Linked DNA regions of Ovis aries. The protein of the gene in region 4 interacts with the protein of the main gene of each other region in a pairwise test. Links are inferred from orthologs where the notes say so. Each region holds a gene or a part of one and is shown on either strand. Other genes may lie near its edges.

The links.
Region 1: the proteins of KIFC3 (region 4) and SOX5 interact in binary tests that used the Homo sapiens proteins (3 or more experiments, as listed by UniProt). The two-hybrid records come from large-scale screens. The link is inferred for Ovis aries from reciprocal best matches to the Homo sapiens genes KIFC3 and SOX5.
Region 2: the proteins of KIFC3 (region 4) and CDR2 interact in binary tests that used the Homo sapiens proteins (3 or more experiments, as listed by UniProt). The two-hybrid records come from large-scale screens. The link is inferred for Ovis aries from reciprocal best matches to the Homo sapiens genes KIFC3 and CDR2.
Region 3: the proteins of KIFC3 (region 4) and DCTN2 interact in binary tests that used the Homo sapiens proteins (3 or more experiments, as listed by UniProt). The two-hybrid records come from large-scale screens. The link is inferred for Ovis aries from reciprocal best matches to the Homo sapiens genes KIFC3 and DCTN2.
Region 5: the proteins of KIFC3 (region 4) and PSMB1 interact in binary tests that used the Homo sapiens proteins (3 or more experiments, as listed by UniProt). The two-hybrid records come from large-scale screens. The link is inferred for Ovis aries from reciprocal best matches to the Homo sapiens genes KIFC3 and PSMB1.
Region 6: the proteins of KIFC3 (region 4) and CLIP4 interact in binary tests that used the Homo sapiens proteins (3 or more experiments, as listed by UniProt). The two-hybrid records come from large-scale screens. The link is inferred for Ovis aries from reciprocal best matches to the Homo sapiens genes KIFC3 and CLIP4.

What each region holds. Positions count from the first base shown.
Region 1 is NC_056056.1:191,789,905-191,793,404, forward strand, and holds part of SOX5 (transcription factor SOX-5), read left to right. Parts: intron 1-2,726; coding exon 2,727-2,958; intron 2,959-3,500.
Region 2 is NC_056077.1:20,559,589-20,561,984, reverse strand, and holds part of CDR2 (cerebellar degeneration-related protein 2), read left to right. Parts: intron 1-721; coding exon 722-870; intron 871-1,127; coding exon 1,128-1,292; intron 1,293-2,359; coding exon 2,360-2,396.
Region 3 is NC_056056.1:162,121,317-162,124,816, forward strand, and holds part of DCTN2 (dynactin subunit 2), read left to right. Parts: intron 1-48; coding exon 49-209; intron 210-399; coding exon 400-550; intron 551-869; coding exon 870-935; intron 936-1,143; coding exon 1,144-1,182; intron 1,183-1,360; coding exon 1,361-1,438; intron 1,439-1,522; coding exon 1,523-1,594; intron 1,595-1,819; coding exon 1,820-1,922; intron 1,923-2,034; coding exon 2,035-2,126; intron 2,127-3,154; coding exon 3,155-3,237; coding exon of another isoform or gene 3,238-3,241; exon of another isoform or gene 3,242-3,439; coding exon of another isoform or gene 3,440-3,452; exon of another isoform or gene 3,453-3,500. UniProt on the Homo sapiens protein: Part of the dynactin complex that activates the molecular motor dynein for ultra-processive transport along microtubules. In the dynactin soulder domain, binds the ACTR1A filament and acts as a molecular ruler to determine the length.
Region 4 is NC_056067.1:25,344,597-25,348,715, reverse strand, and holds the start of KIFC3 (kinesin-like protein KIFC3), read left to right. Parts: upstream 1-1,319; 5' UTR 1,320-1,602; coding exon of another isoform or gene 1,603-1,613; coding exon 1,614-1,785; intron 1,786-4,119. UniProt on the Homo sapiens protein: Minus-end microtubule-dependent motor protein. Involved in apically targeted transport. Required for zonula adherens maintenance.
Region 5 is NC_056061.1:91,728,220-91,731,719, reverse strand, and holds part of PSMB1 (proteasome subunit beta type-1), read left to right. Parts: intron 1-148; coding exon 149-256; intron 257-3,500. UniProt on the Homo sapiens protein: Non-catalytic component of the 20S core proteasome complex involved in the proteolytic degradation of most intracellular proteins. This complex plays numerous essential roles within the cell by associating with different regulatory particles.
Region 6 is NC_056056.1:35,969,834-35,973,333, forward strand, and holds part of CLIP4 (CAP-Gly domain-containing linker protein 4), read left to right. Parts: intron 1-1,069; coding exon 1,070-1,188; intron 1,189-3,500.

The DNA.
Region 1 (3,500 bases), on a different chromosome or scaffold from region 4:
AGTTTGCTTGGACACAGGGAGCTCAAATTCCATGCTTTGTGACAACCTAGAGGGGTGGGATGAGGTGCGAGGTGGGAGGGAGTTTCGAGAGGGAAGGAGCTACATATCCCTATGACTGATTCATGTTGATGTATGGCAGAAACCAATATAATATCATAAAGCAATTATCTTTCAATTAAAAAAATGAATTTTTTCAAAAAAGCAGTTTACTAGGAGAGCATGGAAACAAAACAGTGGGAGTTAAATATCTCTAGTGTTGAGTTATCATATAAAGTTTAATCTGTCAATTTGGGGATAGATAAAGTGTTGCCAATGAGACTAAGAGCTTCCCTGATAGCTCAGTTGGTAAAGAATCCACCTGCAATGCAGGAAAAACGGGTTTGATTCCTAGATGAGAAGGGATAGACTACCCACTCCGGTATTCTTGTGCTTCCCTTGTGGCTTAGCTGGCAAAGAATCTGCCTGCAATGCGGGAGACCTGGGTTTGATCCCTGGGTTGGGAAGATCCTTGGAGAAGGGAAACGCTACCCACTCCAGTATTCTAGCCTGGAGAATTCCATGGATTGTATAGTCCATGGGGTCACAGAGTCAGACGCGACTGAGTGACTCTCACTTCACTTCTTTTTTATTTTTATTTTTACTTTATTTTACTTTACAATACTGTATTGGTTTTGCCATACATTGACATGAATCCACCACGGATGTACATGCGATCCCAAACATGAACCCCCCTCCCACCTCCCTCCCCACAACATCCCTCTGGGTCATGAGACTCAGTCTTTTCTGTTAATCCCAGGCCCTTGCTCTTTCTCCATACTTAGAGTATACTTGGGGTAAACCTTAGTAATGAGATCAGAAATGGTTAAAGATCCCTGAAATGCACTGGCCCAGTCTGTTTCTGTTTTTAAACAGTGCTTGGTAACCACTACTATTTCCTTTCTTTTCTGTGTTCTTCTGCTGATCAAGACTTCTGCTAATAACATTTTTTCTTTAACACTTGATAACTCATTTGATCAGTTTATTGTCAAGTATGACTAACCAGGGAACGTTTCTCTATTGGAGACTGTGTATCCAATGTTGATTTTACAGTTTAACTCTTAGAATGCAATCTGCATTGTCATTTTTGAGTTGTTGTTGCTGCTGCTGTTTTTGTGTTTTTAACGGTGGTGGGTCACACTGTAGTTTTAAAGGTAGTGAAATAAACAGCAGTATTTTTTAATTGAGTGTCTACTCTGAGCAAAATGCTCTGTAAGTCATTTTTCATGTGGAACATAGTTCATTCTCAAAGTATTACAGGTAGATATTTCATCTCACTTTAAAGATGAGTAAACTGAAATAGAGATTAAAGTAAGTCTCACAGCTAGCAAGTAGCAGAATCAGTGTTTTATTTTGTGTTTGTCTGATTCCACAGCCTTTATTTTTTTCTACTCTGCTATTTTATCTTCACAGAATATATCCAGCATTTAAATACATTTGTCTTTCAAAACTTCTAACACTAAGAATAGCATCACTCAACAGAGGTTAGAGCCCTCTCATTTGGTAGTACATTTTAACTTTAAAAATCAGTGATATATATGAATGAAGTGATGTGGTAGTTAGTTCATACTTTCTTGTCCCCTGTATCAGTGGTATAGAATAAGAATGGATGATTTTGTAGACACTCTTTGTTGAACAAAAATTAGAGTGTTTTTCAAGGTCAAATCAAGTTGTAAATACCAGACATTTTTTTAATTAAAAAATTTAACTCTATTCTGCTTCCATGAAAAATTTAATGAAAAGAAAATATGTCTTATGTTTCACTAAACATATTTGCCATTTATTTTTAACCTCCGATAACATTCTCAATCAGACTCAAGTACAAAAAAAAAATCTAAGTGTATTGTCATATAGGCATTAGCTTGTCAAAACAAAACATGCTTATTTAATTTATTTTTTCTTTGCTTAGGTATTCTAAGGAAGAAATAAGTCTGAGAATCTACAGCTAAATATTTCATGAAACTGTGGAAATAAAATTGAAATATTTTTCTATTCTTATCATTTTTTTTAACTACCTACAAATTTTATATTAGAACTAAAAGCCAAAATTGGGTGATTTGGGGATATGAGAGAGAAAAGTCCTTAAATATTTGAGGATTAACAGTGATTGTAGAATTTCTTCAATTCTTAATAAGCTTTAAACAAATATCAAACTTTTTGTTCTGTGACCTGAGGTTTGCCAATAACCAATATTCCTACATTTTACAATAATCTTACTTTTAATGCAGTTTTTTTAATGACAGTCATTCATTTACTTTGTTTATTTTTTGGTGAAAAATTTTTTAGTTATTTCCCTTCCTTTAACTGCCAACAGGATTTGCTATTCATGGATGTTCTGTCTTCAATAAGGTCTATCAACGTGTAAAATGAGATGGGTATTTTTCTTTCCTTTAAAATGGAATGGTCTTTCATTATGCAGTGTTCTTAGGTGAATTCTCTTGTTTAAGAAGCCAGAATACAAGAGAGTGCTATATTAGTGTATTATTCTCACAACAAACAAGCACTGTTCTGTTGCTACCTGCTTGGCCATTGTTTCTGATTGTGTGTGCTTTGCAGTGGTATTTGGATGGTTTCCTGCTCTCTGCCAGCACAAAAAGGCATTTCTGTTACAATGGCCCCTAACCACACAATGACGGCATTAAGGATTTATGTGGAGGTTTCATTATTTTCTCCTCTTTTGTTCCTTCCAGGATGTCTTCCAAGCGACCAGCCTCTCCGTATGGGGAAGCAGATGGAGAGGTAGCCATGGTGACAAGCAGACAGAAAGTGGAAGAAGAGGAGAGTGACGGGCTCCCAGCCTTTCACCTTCCCTTGCATGTGAGTTTTCCCAACAAGCCTCACTCTGAGGAATTTCAGCCAGTTTCTCTGCTGACGCAAGAGACTTGTGGCCATAGGACTCCCACTTCTCAGCACAACACAATGGTAGGTTTCTCATGGGCTGTTGTGCCTACACTCACTGTGTGACCAGTCTGCTCCTCTAGTAGTCTGGCTTCAGTCCTGTGCTTCGTAATTATCATCTACTTAATAGGCACACACAAGATTCACTCCTAACATCTTAGAATTCTTTATAAGTACATTGATTCCAGCAGGGAGTATACTTACACTGTTTTTGTTTTGTTTTGTTTTGTTTTTCAAGAATTCTGCTTTTGAGACACTCCCAACTTAATTAGTGGAAAAACATAATCTAAGAATAATATTAACACATTTAAAATTAGTCCTCAAGAAAGTTAGATATCTTTATATTTCTAATAAAGAGATATATTTCTAATAAAGAGTAATAAAACTCTAATAATTTTTCCAGAAAGAGCTATAGCATTCTTTGAGCATTTCCACCATGATAAATCAGGGTTGGTTTTTTTTTTTTTTCTTTCAACTTCTGCTTCCCTCAGATTGGGTTCCAATATTTCTTACAGTACTGGGAATACTACAGAAGTGCATGTTTCATACAGACAATACATTTCTGA
Region 2 (2,396 bases), on a different chromosome or scaffold from region 4:
AAAAGTAGACCAGCCTAAACTGTATTGGTGAGCTTTAGGGGAACTAAACATATAAAGGACGGCCTGTACTCAGCTCCTTTTAAGAAAAGTAGTTTAACTGAGATTTGAAGTTCTTCATTTCGTAAAATAAACTTGTGGTATTGTGGTATAATGAAAACTATATATTCGACCTTTGTCCCCATGTCCTGAATCCCTCGGAATTTCCTGAATGATAGAATGAGACTGCTCACCAGAGGAGCCGACCACATGATTAGAGGGTTAGAACTTTCAGCCCCGTTGCCAGCCTCTGCAGAGGGGTCAGGGACTGGAATCAAGTTTGTTCACCAGTGGCCCATGATTTAATTAATCATGCCTGTGCCATGAAGCTTCAGTAAAACTCTAAAAGGAGACCAAGAGGTTTCCAGGGAGGGTGGTGCATCTGAGAATAAAACTGTAAGTAAATCCCTTTCCCAAGCTCTGTGTGTTGTTTTAGCAGATTATTGAATGTGAGAGGAGGTCATGGGAATTCCCTAATTTATAGTTGTTTGGTTGAAAGGACGGGTGGTCCCTAGGACTTACCTCTGGTACCTGAATTGGGGGCAGTTTTGTGGAACTGAGCCCTTATCACTCCAGGTGGTGTCAGAATTGAAGTGAATTGCAGGATGCATTCTGTATTATACCTGGAATACTGCAGGTATCCCACATGTTTAATGTGTAACCTGGTCACAATTATCTCTTCCAGTATCTGACCAAGCAGGTGGAGCTTCTGCGGCAGATGAATGAACAGCATGCAAAGGTTTATGAGCAATTAGACGTCACAGCGAGGGAACTGGAAGAAACAAATCAAAAGCTCGTTGCTGACAGCAAGGCCTCACAGCAAAAGATTCTGAGGTAAATTCTTTAGAATCTGTTGAAGAAGCCCTAGGGGAAGTCATTTAGTATAAACTAGAATAGAACATGGCTGTAGTGGGTTCAGGTCAGTGTGGGGTAAGCTTTAATTTAATTCTCTATGGAGAATAGAGATTAAATAGAAGTCTTTTCCAATTACAAAAGCCCAGTTTGAGTGGTTGCCAACTAAGCTCTCCTCACTGCTTATGCCTTTAATTTAATATGACAAGCTGCAATTGGCTTCTGTCTGTTCCTCACAGTCTGACTGAAACGATTGAATGCCTGCAAATGAACATTGATCACCTCCAGAGCCAAGTGGAGGAGCTGAAATCATCCAGCCAAAGGAGAAGGAGCCAGGGGAGGCATGACCAGGAGAAATCGGCCCCCAGCTTCTCGTCTTTGAAAGAGCTGTATGACCTCCGCCAGTAAGAGCCCACCTTCCATTTGCAAGCAGGAGAACATCTCGTGTCATTGGCACATTCTGGATCCCAGTAGATTAAAAGTACCCTTTTAGGAAATGCCGCTTGGCTATTAGACCACCAGTGGTTTGAACAAAACCACTTAAACATACATGTGATAGTTTTTGTTGTTGTTGTTGTTGTTTAGTCCAATTGAAATTTCAGTAAAACAAAATCCAGGCAAACAGAAGGCTTTTTTTTTTTTTTTTTTTTTCCTGAAGAAAAGCCTTTTACAATTTAGACTTTGGAGATTGAATCTTCATTTAAGAACTATTTCTTGAACACCTGTGGTAAGGCAGGTGCTATGCCAGATGTGAGGAGTGGTGAGCAAAACAGACACAGTTTCTGCCCTCATGGAGCTTTCAGTCTCAGGAAGAGGCAGGTAGCAAATAAGTACAGTTACAAGTTGCCCAGGACTCTGACCAGGAGAGAGACCAGCTCGTGCATTTGGTGGGCCTCAACTTGACTGTTCAGATCGCCATCAGGCCTAATCAGAATCTCTAGGTATGAGTGAAAGGCTATTCAGGTGATTCTGATGTCTGTCTGTTCTTGGTTTAAAATCACCGCAGCAATGGTTCTCAGTCTTAGCTGCATATTATGAATCATAGGAAGAGCTTTAAAAAATACACACCCTCTAGTTCATGTGGCAGACCAGCTAGGTCAGCATCTGTGGGGGTGGGACCCAGGCGTCAGTATGTTTTAGGACTGCCCAGGTGATTCTAATCTGCAGCCAAGATTGAGCACCACTGGCTGTTCTGATCTCCTTGAACAGTCTCAGTCATACTACTGGTCTTTGGGAATGGATGTTCTATAGCATTTTTAATGTTTTAAAAAAAAATTAATTACACAAGATGTGTGTTCCTCCATGTGTTGTCAGCCTCACACATTCGTTTTAGCCGCTGCTCTAGGGTGGAATAGGCAAAAAATCAGTCATATCACAGCTCCTCAAAAATATGTAGTTGGAAAAAAATCATCAGCCTCCCTCTTTGCCTTCTCAGTCGGCCTGTGTAAGAGTCTTTCAATATTTCCCCCAGGCACTTCGTGTACGATCATGTGTTTGCCGAGAAGATC
Region 3 (3,500 bases), on a different chromosome or scaffold from region 4:
CTTGACTTACTCTTAGCACCCCTCACTGTCTATTTGTTTTCATACCAGACGACAGTGAAGGAATCAGCCACTGAGGAGAAGCTGACCCCCGTGGTGTTGGCTAAACAGCTGGCCACCCTGAAGCAGCAGCTGGTTGCTTCCCATCTGGAGAAGCTGCTGGGACCAGATGCCGCAATCAACCTTACTGACCCCGATGGAGCTCTGGCTAAGTGGGTGCCAGACTTTGCTGGGAGATCATTGCTAATTGGGGTGTAGAGGGACTCCAGCCAGGTATTGACAGGGCTGCGAAGGGGAGAGGTGGCCTAGCTGTTCCTTAATGCTGACCCTGAGGCAGAAACAAGTGACTGAGCTGACCCACATCCTTCAAGTCGTGATAATATTGCTGGTTTTTTGATCCAGGCGCCTACTGCTGCAGCTGGAAGCAACAAAGAACAGCAAAGGGACTGGTTCAGGGGGCAAGACCACCAGTGGGACCCCCCCAGATAGCAGCTTGGTCACTTATGAACTGCATTCTCGGCCTGAGCAGGACAAGTTCTCTCAAGCTGCCAAAGTATGTTTTTGTGTGTGTTTGTGTATGTGTGTGGATGTATGTAATGTTGGTTAAGGGGCCAGGGAAGATGTGGCTCCGGAGACTTTCCTGCTACCCTCCAAGGAATCATGTCTGGGGAGAGGGTGCTGGGAATGCTTGATTCTTCTTGATGTCTCATTTAAGACTGTGACTAGGGCTGTGTTCCAGAGAAAGAAATCCCTTGGCAGAGTGGTGGGGAGAGGGGAGGGGAGGGCAAGCAGACCAGCAAAGAGCAAGGTTTACCTCCCACTGCAGCAGAAGGGAGGTAGGTGGATGGCAAATATCCCCATTCCTCCCCTAGGTGGCAGAACTCGAGAAGCGCCTGACAGAGCTGGAAGCCACTGTACGCTGTGATCAGGATGCTCAGGTCAGGTGCTCTCTTGTACTTGTTCCAACCCTCACATCCTGAGCCCTAAGGTCCACAGCATTCCACAGAATCCAGGGAGGAGTCAGGAACAGGTTCCAGTTACAGGAGCAGCCAGCAGTTGCCTGCTGGAACCCAAAAGGATGAGAGAAGGTGGTAATCACCTGGAGAGATGAGAATCACTAACTTCTTTGCTTCTTTTCCCCATCAGAATCCCCTTTCAGCAGGTCTGCAGGGAGCCTGCCTCATGGTGAGTGTAAAAGGAACTGGAGTCTTTGGATGACAGAGGGGATATCAGGATTGGGTTTGCTTAGAAAATTATTTTTGGATCTGTAGCTGTTTATTCATTACCTTCAGTGGAATATGAGGTGGCCTTTTCTAGTCTGATTCTGTCTGCTTCATGGCACTTGTCCTGACCCCGCCCCCAGGATACTGTAGAGCTGTTGCAGGCGAAGGTGGGCGCCCTGGACCTTGCAGTTTTGGACCAAGTGGAGGCTCGGTTACAGGTATTAAGTGGAGGCAAATTGGATTACAGGCAGCTAGTGACTTTGGAAGACCTTGATGCCTTTGCTTAAAATCTGTGCTTTCAGAGTGTGCTGGGAAAAGTGAATGAGATTGCCAAGCATAAAGCTTCTGTAGAGGATGCAGATACACAGAGCAAGGTCAGGAAGAGACCTTTCCTTCCATCTTCATACCCTTTCCTGCTCCCTCATGTACTCTTCCTGCTGGAAAGAGCAAAGCATGAGAGCACTGAATCCTCAGGCTACTGTCCTCATAAGCTCTTACCAGCTGAGATAAGGCAGTGCTTCCCTGTTGCCCCAGCTTGCACTTGTCTCACCCTAATGGGGTGTATTTGGCTGAAGTTGGTCACTATGTTGTCCCTCCAGGTGCACCAGCTGTATGAAACCATACAGCGCTGGAGCCCCATTGCCACCTCCCTTCCTGAGCTGGTACAGAGACTTGTCACCATCAAACAGCTACACGAACAAGGTGGGAGGCCAGCCACAAGGGGTGTCAAGAGGAATGGAAAGTGAGCAACTCCTGTTCCCTTCCCTCTGGTCTTGGATTCTAATGCCATGCCTGCTGTTCTGACCTTTCACAGCCATGCAGTTTGGTCAGCTTCTGACACACTTGGATACCACACAGCAGATGATTGCTTGTTCCCTCAAGGACAATGCCACCCTCTTGACTCAGGTGAGTGCCTCCCTTCCCCAGCACACACAGGCAAGGTTCTCCAGCTTCAGCTCCAGAGGGTTCTGCCTTGGCCCATTTGGTGGCACAGTGGTGTGGCAGGGGTTTGGTTTGAGTCTCCATACTGTTTCTTGGTTGCCATGGGACATGTGACAACTTATTTAACCTATGAACCTCCATCTCACCATCTGGCAAATTATACCTACTTCAGAGTTATGTGGATGAAATGAAGTAATATGAGTGAATTGGTAAGAGCTCAGTAAACCTCCATTCTTCCTATAAAACCTACCTTTTCCCTCTGTAGTCTCAGCTGGCTTTTATCCTCCCTGGGTCCTCAACCAGATGTTCCTGAGCACAGGACACTAGACAGAACATGGGCATTGAAATCTGGAGCCAGGCTCCCACCTGGTTTTGCCCCTTCCTTCCTGACGCTGAGCTGTGAGCGTCACCTCTCCATTCTCTAAGCAGTGCCCAGCACAGAGCAAGTCTTCAGGTTATGGCAGAGGCACTGTTCTCAGTGCTGGGGGATGCACTACAGTTGGGATTCTGGCATCACAGGACTGTCAAGATAAATTAAAGTGCTTGGCATGGTATGTTCTTCCTCCAAAGCAGTTTTCTAAAACTTCGGATGAGTGAAACCCTTACTTCAACAAAATCCTGTTTGTCCCTCAGTACATAAAACAGATGAAAGAACTGTTCTGGTTAAAGTCAGGATGGGAATTCTTAAGAGGCCTGCCTGTTTAGCAGATCCCATGCTAGGTCCATGGTGCTCCAAGTCACCTTCCCATTCTGGGGCCCACAAGCTGTTTCCATTTCTTTTTTCTAATTTAGCTTTGTTGTGCAGCTCGTGGGATCTTAGTTCCCCTACCAGGGACTGAACCTGGGCCCCAGCAGTGAAAGTGCAGAGTCCTAACCACTGGACCACCAGGGAACTCTCCTGCATGTCTTTGTCTTCTCTCAGAGAATTTCTTCAGGGCCTCACCCAGGTAAGCACCTGAACCTGACAGTGAAACAGCTCTCTCGCTTTCTAGGTGCAGACGACGATGCGTGGAAACCTGTCCACAATTGAGGGGAACTTTGCCAACATCGATGAACGGATGAAGAAACTGGGAAAGTGAGCACCTTTGGGTGATGGAGGACAGGGGTAATCCCTACCCCTTTGAACTCTATTAATACCTTACACAGGGTTTCTCCTTAATCGTAACTCTTGCGTCCCATTTGACACTGGGGGCAAGGGCTTCTTGCATGTGGGGCTTACACCCCCTCCTCTGAAGAGTAGTGGAAGCTGGGGATATTAAATGGTGGTCTCCTCTTAGGCCACAGGGATGAGGACATGGCCCAGCCACATGCCAGCTCCTGCCCAATACTGCTTTGCCT
Region 4 (4,119 bases):
CTTCTGGGACATCCTCTGAGGAAGGCCGTCTGGGCCTACACCAGGAGCTGCTGTCTGCTCCAAGCTGGCATTCTGAATGTGTTTTCACTGGAGATTAAAGGAATATTTTACCTTTAAAAATCCCAAACAGCTTCCCTGCTCTGCAAGACATCTATCTCTTGGTGGGGTATGAGAGGGGAACAGGGCCAGGCAGGAGCAGGGGGCAGCAGGTGGTGCCCTGGCTAGGGAGGCAACCTGGCCTGTGTGCTCCTACTAGAGCTAGTGAGAATGCACGTGTGAAAACGCGTGTGCTGATGTGTGACAGTGCATGCATGGGCACGTGTGCTCACTAAAGCGTGTGTTGTTTAGTTGCTAAGTCAAGTCTGACTCTTTTGCAATCCCATGGAGTGTAACCCGCCAGGCTCGTCTGTCCGCGGGGTTTCCCAGGCAAGAATACTGAAGTGGGTTGCCATCTCCTCCTCCAGGGGCTCTTCCTGGACCTGGGATCGAACCCAAGTCTCTTGCCTTGGCAGGTGGATTCTTCACCAGCTGAGCCACCTGGGAAGCCCATGAAAGTCTGTACTGGGGTTAGCAGCATAGGAATGTTGCTCTGTGAAATGTGAGGAAGAGTTCAAGAGTACCTGAAGAAGCATGTACAGCATTTGTGGGAAAGCAAGGGGGAAAGTCTGAACTCCGTACAGGAATGTGAGTGCACATTGGAAGTGTGTGAGAATGTGCAAGTGTGCACACATACTAGCTAGTGTGTGTGTGCTAGAAAGTTTTAGAAAAAAGTATACTACAGATTGTGAGAAACTGTGAAGCGTGGCAAGGGAGCACTTGTGAGAATTGTGTGTTAGTAGTAGTAACTAGTGTGTGCAAAAGTTTTGTACTAGGGTTTGAGGAGGTGTGGATGAGAATGTCAGTTTAAGTGCAAAGCATACACGTAGGAACGAACGTCGGGATGTGTGTGGGAACTGTGAATGTGTTCATGTGGACTCACTAGAGCGTGTGTGCAAACCTGTGAGAGCCGCGTGTATTGTATGTGAGCACGTAGGACGGCTTGTGTGCGTCTGGGGTGAGCGCGCACGTGTGCACGGGCGTGTGCGGAGCGCCGGGAGACCCAGAAGAAAGGTCTGAGCAGAGCCGGCGGCCCCGCGTGAGAGTGTGAGTCTCTGTGTGTGTGCACGCGGGAGCGCGCGCGCGTGCCGCCGCCCCCCGCCAGGGTCTGAGCCGGTTGCCATGGGAACGCGCCGCGGCCCGAGTTAATCATTTCCTGTGGAAAGTGTGCGGGAGGGGCCGGAGCGGGGCGGGAGCGGGGCGGGCCAAGGAGGCGGTGGCGTGGAGCTGCCTCCCGCCGGCGGGCCGGGCCGGGCCGAGCCCCTGGCGCTGCGGCGACGCCGGGATCCTGCCTCCGCCAGGCCGGTGAGTCCGGGGCTCGGGCGGGAAGAGGGAGGGCTGGGCGCTCGGGTTCCGCCCAGCCCGTCGTTCGGGGTGTCGCGTCCGGGATCCCCCTGCCCAATCCCGAGGTGGGGCGCGGGGAGGGCCGGGCCCGGGAGACCCAGCCCTGCGCTATCCCGCCCCCACCCCCGCCCCCCACGCTGTCCAGCCAGAGCCGATCAGAGCATGGGGGCGACATGTCCCCTGGAATGCGAGCAGCCTCGGGACCCCCTTTCCGATTTCAATGGCCCGGGAAAGCCGGAGATTGCCAGGGAACCGCGTGCCGGTCAGCGCCGCCCCCTCCCCGGGCCGAAGTCCCCGGGTCCGCAAGGCTCCCTCGAACGCTGCAGTTTCGAGCCCTCCCACCGCGTAGGTCCTCTGGGCAGTTGGCTTTCCCCTTCGCAGGGCCGGGATGGGGTGGGCTAGCGGCAGGTTAGGAACGAGGGCCTGGGCCGGCGTCCCCCTGGGCAGTGGGGAAATTGAGCCTTTGACAGCTGCAGCCTGGTGGGGAGGGGTTCCCAGCTGGGAGGGCCAGCCCGAAGCCACCTCTGTCAGCCCCCTGTTGTGAGTTAGAGCGGAACTCTGGCGCAGTGAAGGGCCTGGTCCTGGCAGATTTTAAAGAGGAAGCTGTATTTAAATTCTCAAGTACCATTTGTCATCAGCACCCCCCCCCCCCACACACACACACATTTGTCTCAAGGTTGGGGGTCCTGGCCACACCTGCCCTTTCGCCTTCTCTGGCTTTCTGTCCTCCTGAGGCTGAGCCAGCAACTCTGCTGGCCCAGGCTGTTCCCTGTGCCCTTGATAAAAGTAGCCGTCTCCTTGGCCAAAGAGTCATTTGTGAGGAATGCAGTCTGAGAATGGGGCCCTGTATTTGCAGTGACTGGACTTAAGGGATGTGGGGGTAATGCGTTCTGCTTTCCCTCTGGGCACCAAGGGACAGAGGCTTTGAAATCTGGGTTGACCTGCAAAACCTAGGATGTGTGACTGCTCAGGGGAGGTCCAGCCCCTGTCCACCCTCCCAGACCTTCTGCCCCCTCTCTCAGGGAGACGAAGACTATGTTTCCCCAAGCAGTGGTCTCTGGGCAGTTGTCAAGTCTATTCCCCAATCATTGCAGCAACCCTGGTCTGGGGGAAGAGGGCTGCACCTCTGCCACCCTGGCCTAAACCTGGAGAGGCTGATGGGGCTCTCCTGCAGCCTGCCCCTGCGTTCACCCACCGCTGGATATAGGTCACTGAAACATTAAATTTGCGGGGGGGAGGGGCAGGGTTCTTTGTATATGTCAGTATTGTTCTTAATGTTGTGTATATGTGTCATCCAAACTTTACATCAACCCTATTAAGGTAGAGTTCTCCCATTTCAAAGATGGAGATACTGGGGCTTAGAGACAAAGTCATTCTCCCAGGGTTGCACATCTACTAAGTGGTGCAGCCGGGCTCTGAACTAGCTTTTGGTCATAACCACGCTGTGCCCCCATCACCCCGTCCTAAGACCTAGGTTTTTGTGTCTCCAGTCTTGGGCTGTTTGAAAGTCCTTGATGCTTTTGACTCTCACATCTGACAGTCTGCTAATTCAGCTACTTTTTCCTCTCCAGGATCTTGCACACACCCTTCCTCTTTCTTCCTGATATCTTCCTGCCTCCCAACTTCCCTTCCTGAAAGCCAGGAAATAATGTGTCCTTCTGTCCCTGCCCCTCAGGCTTAGCTGACCTCCTTAAAAGTCTTCTCAGGGCTTCCCTGATGGCTCAGCGCATATAGAATCTGCCTGCAATGCAGGAGACACAGGTTCGATCCCTGGGTTGGGATGAGCCCTGGGTAGGGATGATCCCCTGGAGAAGGAAATGGTAACCCACTCCAGTATTCTTGCCTGGAGAATTCCCACGGACAGAGGAGCCTGGCGGGCTACAGTCCAAAGGGTCTCAGAGTCCAACACAACTAAGCACAGAGCACATGAAGGTCTCCCTCAACCATGGAATCGACCTTCAGTGCCCTTTGCCATCTCACCTTCCAGCAGCTCAGCATGCAGGTGGAGCCCGTCTCACTCCCTCCTTCTTTACCCACTGGGCAGCTGATCCTCAGGGCAGATTGTGTGCCCAGCTCTTTGCTGAGTAGCCTGGAGAAGGGGACGTCTGGCTACATCTCCCAGTTCCCTCCACTCCACACTCGTCCATCTCCATTTCCTCAGCGGAGCTACCCACAGGCAGCATTAATGTCCACTCTGCCCTTTGGCCAGCAGTCCTGACCCCTGCCAGGGAGAGGGCACCCAGGAGATTCCTCCTCCAAGGTGTCTTCCTTAATCAAGGAAGGTAGAGGCCAGGACTCTCTAGCCAAGAGCCTGGCATTCTTCCAGGGCTCAGCTCTGCCAACCTCAGGCCACCCATCCTTGGGGTCTTCCTTCTCTTGCCTCTCAATGCTTCAGTTGTTCCTGTTCCTCTATTGACCCAGCATGTGCAGATCTCTCCTGTTCTAAATTCCACATCCTCTCCTTCCCATCCTAGCCAACTTCTCCAAAGAGAAGGAAGTGGCAGCTTCCTCTGGCCACCCCCACCCCACCTTAGACTTTCCCAGGTCTGCCCTCTGTTCTGCTCCATTGACCTTTCTTCCAATTGGATCTCTCCGTGGCATGGTTCCCTGGTAATTGACCATCCCCTCCTTCTCACTCCCGGTCACCTCTGAGGACTCTTCACCTGTCTGTTGCTTCAG
Region 5 (3,500 bases), on a different chromosome or scaffold from region 4:
TCTTTTCCTCTTCCATCTGAATCCTGTACTTGATTATATCTAGTAGATTTTATCTCAGTATGTGCTATGGATCCTTCTCATATTGGGAAAGGTGTTATTAACATCCAAAATAATTCATTAATTTTGTTTTTCCTTCTTTTCCCCTCAGTACTGTATTGGCAATTGCTGGAGAAGACTTTTCAATTGTTGCTTCTGACACTAGATTAAGTGAAGGGTTTTCAATTCACACACGGGACAGCCCCAAATGTTACAAACTGTAAGTAAATATTTCTAAGGACATGTTTTCGGCACCTTGTGATGATTTAATGCTGCGAGAGATTCAGGTTTTAAATGGTGTGTTGCATGAAATTTTAGATTGCCTGTTTGGAGCTTAGCTTGTATTTTTGTTAGAAAATTATTTTCTAGTAATTCAGTATGTAGTCTTCATAATATTTGCTATGTCTAGGTACCGACAGTGTTTTTGGTAACTTAAATATTTTTTACTCAGCATCTTATAAAAAATCTCAAATATACAGCAAAGGTAGGATAATTCTCTAGTCAATGCTCATATACTATCATGTAGATCTCATCAGCATTTCATTGTTACTACTTTACCATATGTATTTTAATCTTTCTTTAATATATTGGATTCTTTTTCAATCTGCACCTTAAAAAAAAATAACCTTCAATTTACCCATATCTTAAGCAGCTATGTCCATGGCTCACAGTTCTAGTGGGTGGCTATGTTTTTTCTAAAACGTAAGAAAATAAAGTCATGGGTACTGGGGGTAGGGGGAATCTGCATAAATTACTAACTAAAGGCACCTTACATGTTAACAGTGGTTTGTATTTAACATTTTTGGACACAGTTGGAAATGGTTACTCTTAGGTTACTACACAAACACTTCTTAATCCTGAATTCCAGCAGGAGTGAACTGATGAAGTTGAGGTCCTTTGGGTGGGCCTTGTGGTGCTGCAGGGCGTGGCCCAGCCTACACCGCAACCTAAAGAACAGTAAGCTTGTCTTCATCTTCCCAGTTCCCTTTCTGTCCACTTCCATCTTTTGATACCTTTTTCTCTTCTCTGATTCGTAGCGTGGTGATTTAGTTGTTAAGTCGTGTCTGACTCTTGTGACCCCATGGACTGTAGCCTGCCTGGCTCGTCTGTCCATGGGATTCTCCAGGCAAGAATACTGGAGTGGGTTGCCATTTCCTTCTCCAGGGGGGTCTTCCTGGCCCAGGAATCAAACGCTGGTTTCCAGCATTGCAGGCAGATGAATTACCTACTGAGCTATCAAGGAAGCCCTTGTAGCATACCCATGCAACAATTTTTGTCTTTTAAGATGTAACTTTTATAAAGTGAAAGTAGTAAATGTCATGAATAAAACTTAAATACATAATGTGATAGATACTGTCCTTGTACAAGAGTCTGCTCATCTTGGTAACAGTGTTTCAGCTTGTGTGCCTCCTGAATGAGCACTCTCTCTCTCTTTTTTTTCTAATGAAACACTTCAGGTATATATAGAGAGAACAGTTTTACTTCTGTGTTCCTGCCGTGCATTACAGGCACTGGGTCACACATGAATTGCTTGCATGCTCCTGATCCCATGCCTTTTGGGGCTGACCTGGAGTCTAGCCCACCTCTTCCCCTACTTGTTTGAAACTTATATTTACTCTTTATTCTTTGCAGAAAAACTCTTCTTTATTTAGATACCTGGATATTTGGCAAAAGCATTTTGAAGCTCAGATTTTGTTTTACCCTCCTGGTACTGTCAGCCATTCTCGATAGTACAGGCAGTGAAGCCTTATGGTGTATTGGGGTTTGGCTCAGTGCAGTGAGGTTGGTTATAGAGAGATCAAGAAATGCTGGTGATGACCCTGGAAGTGCCGGTGGTCTCCCCAGTTGGACAGGTATGTTTTGTGTGAATCTTTCATTTCTGAAAGAAAGGGCCTCTGCTGATCATTTCTTGATGAGATGGGTTTAGGTTTCCTTATAAATATCAAGACTTAGGAATTAACTTTTGAGCTGTCAGTTCCGTTGCTCAGTCATGTCCAACTCTTTGCGACCCCATTGACTGCAACATGTCAGGTCTCTGTCCATCACCAACTCCCAGAGCTTGCCCAAACTAATGTCCATCGAGTTGGTGATGCCATCCGACCATCTCATCCTTGTTGTCCCCTTCTCTTCCTGCCTTCAATCTTTCCCAGCATCAGGATCTTTTTCACTGAGTCAGTTCTTCACATCAGGTGGCCAAAGTAATGGAGCTTCAGCTTCAGCATCAGTCCTTCCAATGAATATTCAGGACTGATTTTCTTTAGGATTGACTGGTTGGATCTCCTTGCAGTCCAAGGGACTCTCAAGAGTCTTATCCAACACCACAGTTCAAAAGTATCAGATCTTTGACGTTCAGCTTTCTTTATGGTACAACTCTGTACATGACTACTGGAAAAACCATAGCTTTGACTAGACGGACCTTTGTCGGCAAAGATACACAAAAATTTTATTAAGTACTCTCTGGTGGGCATTTGGGTTGTATTTGTTTTGTTTTAAAGAGTCATTAAAATAATACATATACTTACACGTGAAACTAGAGCTTATCTTCTCGAACTTGCATGAGTATATTTGTAGCAATGGAGTTTTTGAATGAAAGTGATGTGCATTTAAGCTTTTAATAGATGCTGTCGAACAGCCTTTCTAAAGAGTTGGGTCAGTGTACATTCTTTCCCAGTTTCTGAGAGTACCTGATTTTCAAAACCTCACTAGCATTAAGCATTATTATTCTACTAGGCCGAAATCGTCTCTTTTAGATTTTAATTTATGAGTGGCGTGGAGGCTCTTTTATATGTCTATGGTGACTTGTGTCTCTTTTTATATGACTTTCATATAATTTAGGGGCTTCCCTAGTGGCTCAAATGGCAACCCCGTCCAGTACTCTTGCCTGGCAAATCCCATGGATGGAGGAGCCTGGTGGGCTGCAGTCCATGGGGTTGCTAGGAGTCGGACACGACTGAGCGACTTCACTTTCACTTTTCGCTTTCATGTATTGGAGAAGGAAATGGCAACCCACTCCAGTGTTCTTCCTGGAGAATCCCAGGAACGGGGGAGCCTGGTGGGCGGCCGTCTCTGGGGTCGCACAGAGTCGGACACGACTGAAGTGACTCAGCAGCAGCAGCAGCAGCTAGTGGCTCAGATGGTAAAGAATTTGTAGGAGACTGGGTTTGATCCCAGGATCGGGAAGATCCCCTGGAGAAGGGAATGGCTGTCCACTCTAGTATTCTTGCCCGGAGAATTCTATGGACAGAGGAGCCTGGTGGGTGAGTCTGTGGGTTCACAAAGAGTTGAAGGTGACTGAGCCCTGAAAGTTTCACCTTCACGTCGCTTCCCTCCCTCCTTTGTTTTTCGTATTGAGGCATAACTGGCATCTGGGGGCTTCCCAGGTGGTGCAGCAGCGAAGAGTACACCTGCCAGTGCGGGAGGTGCAGGTCTGAGCCCTGGGCCAGGAAGGCCCCTAAAGCAGGGGC
Region 6 (3,500 bases), on a different chromosome or scaffold from region 4:
CCTGTTTATGTTTTCACTTTTTGAATGATGTTAGGAAGAACGCCTCTCTTGATGGTACTGCGGCTGCTGCTGCTAAGTCGCTTCACTCGTGTCCGACTCTGTGCGACCCCATGTCTTTCATAACTGAGGACAGTGTTCTGAGTGTGTCTTGGTTTGTTTGCAGTGTGGGTAGGGCATGTAAGGTGGTGAAGCAGTCATTTGATTCAGGCAGGATTAGCAGAACCAGAGGTATATTAAACCCATGTTATAAAAAACAGTCGAAATGGAATATCCAAATCTGGAGTATATCTTGTATTTATGTATTACATCCTGATGATTTGTTGAAAGTTCTTAAAATGTTCTTAGAATTGCAAGATTCTCATTCTTACTGTGACATACAAATTCTTCATAAAGTATTGTGAATGAATACAGCATGTAGCATATGTTTAATTACACTTTAATTTATTCCGGGTTTGAGAAGTCTCCGTTGTTTTACCTTCTTTTTTCTATGAAGAGGCAGATAGTAAATATTTTAGGCTTTGTGGACCACGTGGTCCCTGTTGAAACTACTTGATTCTACAGAGTGGTGTGAAAGTAGCCACAGAGAATATATAAATGAATGCAAGTGGCTGTGTTCCAATAAAACTTTATTTATGAAAACATGATGAGTTGGATTTGGCCATGAGCCACAGTTTGCTAGTCCCTGACTAAACCATGCTACATTATCATTGTTGTGGCCAATATGCAAGAGGTTTAGTGAAAGAGTGTGTTAAGATAGTTACTTTTATAAATACGAATTATTGCCATTAATTGCTTTTAAGTATACTTTAGTTTGTGATGGTTAGAAAACACATAACATGAGTCTATTTGATAGTGAAATTTTATTATACTAAGAAAAAAATTAGTTAACCAGATTGTAATATGCAGATTTTATTCCATTGTGAGAATGGTCCTTCTAGTGGGTTGGTTTAAGTCTCGTCAATAGCTTATACCCCATTCCCCCAAATAAATCCAACCCAACCTGCCTCTTTTCACGTTATAATAGATTAACTAAAATTTTTGTTAATACACTTGTGATGTTCAATTACAGATGTGGATGCCACTTGCAGCGACTTTAATTTTGGAACAGCTCTGCATATTGCTGCATATAACTTGTGTGCAGGTACCGTGAAATGCTTATTGGAGCATGGAGCCAATCCTGCATTTAGGGTAAGAGGTTAAATTAAAAGTGAAAAATATTAAAAAGAATGAAAACATCTAACATTATCTCCCAGGAAAGAGTTGAATCTGGATGTTGTTGTGGAACTCTTATATGAGTAAATAATTTATATTTTTTTGTGCTGCATATAAAGAGTAATAATTATAAACTTTTATCTCAAATAAGTTTAAGGCATAGCGGTGAATTTCAGTCCTTTTATATCGATAAGCTCTACTAGCCTTACTTTCATTCAGCTAAATAAAATGCTCTTTACAGTTTATCATCTTTGAGTTTAAAAGTATCTTTCGTTTAGGCTTTTGCTTTATTTATAAATCCTTTAGCTATTAAATAAAAATGCATATATTAAAGTTTATATTTCTGCATTAAACCACATTTTAAATTATTTTGGAAAGAAGTTTTATTTCAGACAGTCTAAAAAAGGCCTATTTAAGAATGGAGTAAACCTTTAAAATTGACTTAAAGGAAAAATTTATTTTTTCATGATCAAGTTACATACTTACAAAGTTAACACACAAGACTGAACTTCATAAACTTCAAATCGTTTGGTATTTTATTGTCTTCACCAAAGTGGCTATGCGTTTTCTTTTCTGTTGCATTAATAGCAGTGACTTGCTCTGGCAGGGATTCTTCACTGGGTCTGTGCATTCTCTTGAAGTGGCGGCAGTGGTAGCAAAAGCCTCCTCCCCTTTTCTTTTCCTTGCTTTCTTGTTTTGCCTTCCCACCCCAGTTCGTTGCCACTTTTCTTTCTGTTTAACCCCATTGATTATTTAATCAACCCCTCTGTTCCTCCTTCCCTCCCTCCATCCTTCGCATCCTATTGTTTTTTAGGCACTGGGAGAATACATGCGTCTGGGACAATACATATGGCACTGGGACAATAAATGTGTCTCTGTCTCACATAGAATATCATCTAGAGAGGGGGACAAATGAGAGCAGGCAGATTTACTGTAGTGTGTCAAGTTGAGTGTGTTAGGATGGGGGACAGGCGGGGTGTGGCACAGAGTGTCATGGGGTTGCATGGGAGGGGAGTCTGTTCAAGCCTTAGGAAGCCTCCTTCCTGGCATAGGTAAACTTGAATACTTAAACAGAGTTGAGAATTAACCAGGTATAGGAGGAAGCTGAGGAAGGCCCGTTAGGCAGAGAGAGTGGCGTGCACAAAGGCCAGGAGTTGGTTGGAGTGTGAAGGTGATAGGTGCTTGCTTTTGCTAGTGCAACTCTTGGCAAGACCCCATTAATGGAGAGAGTAGTTTGAATCTAGTAAGATGCAGTGAGGTATGTCACGGAGATAAATTACCAATTCAAGCCCAAAGTAATTAATAGATTTTACCCACTTTTGGTAGTTAATACTTAAAAAAAAAAGATATCTACATGTGGGTCAGCAGTAGCCCTTGGATCAGACCCTAACTTAGCCACTACTTTAGAAAAAGTGAAATTCTATAATCATGAGCAAATCTTCTTATGTTAACATGACATCATTATTATTTTATTACTATTTAGTATTTTTTAAACACTGAAGTTTTAGTTGCTAAATTTTATGTAGGAATTAATAGAAATGTGTGACTTACTCCAGAAAGGTGAGAACTTAAAAATCTGAAGTAAAATAGTCATTGTAAAAGTAGCCTACCACTTAACAGAACAGGTTTGTTGATTTAAAAAAAGTTTTTTTCCCTTCTTTCTTTTTCTCAAGAGTACATATTAGCACTATAGATGATTTTCTTTATATTTTGTACTTTGAAATTGGGGATCAAAATAGTTCATCACCATCCCCCAAATTTGATAACATGTCTTCCTAACATATTTTTACTTAGAACCAAACTGACTTGAATTTTAAAATAAAACATGTGAGGCCCTTGCAGACTAAGTGTTCTAAAAGCCTCATTCTTTTATCCATGTGGATCATTTGAAGATAATTATCAGAGGAGAAGTAAAGGGAAAAAGGTTTCTGAGCCAAAGAATCTTGGTTCATCTCATGAAGAGAAGATTACAGTCTGGAATCTTTCTGATAAAACCTGAGTTGTTGGCTAGGGAGCAGAGACGAAAGAGGGCTTGTTTGAGGGAAGGACGGCCTGGAGCAGGAGAAGAGCTGAGGGTCCAGTGGTTGCTGAATGTGGGCTGACTGAATGTCGTCTCTGCAGTAATCATGCAGATGACGCTGAGCCATCACTCAGTCGTCTCTCCTTGCCTAAGTCTCCTAATTGGCAAACTGGAAATGGTAGTAATATTTTACTTGTTTAGTTGGTCCATCCTGCTGCAATAAAAACAAATTTGTAACAGGCAAGGATTTTTATCTCTGTCATTCACA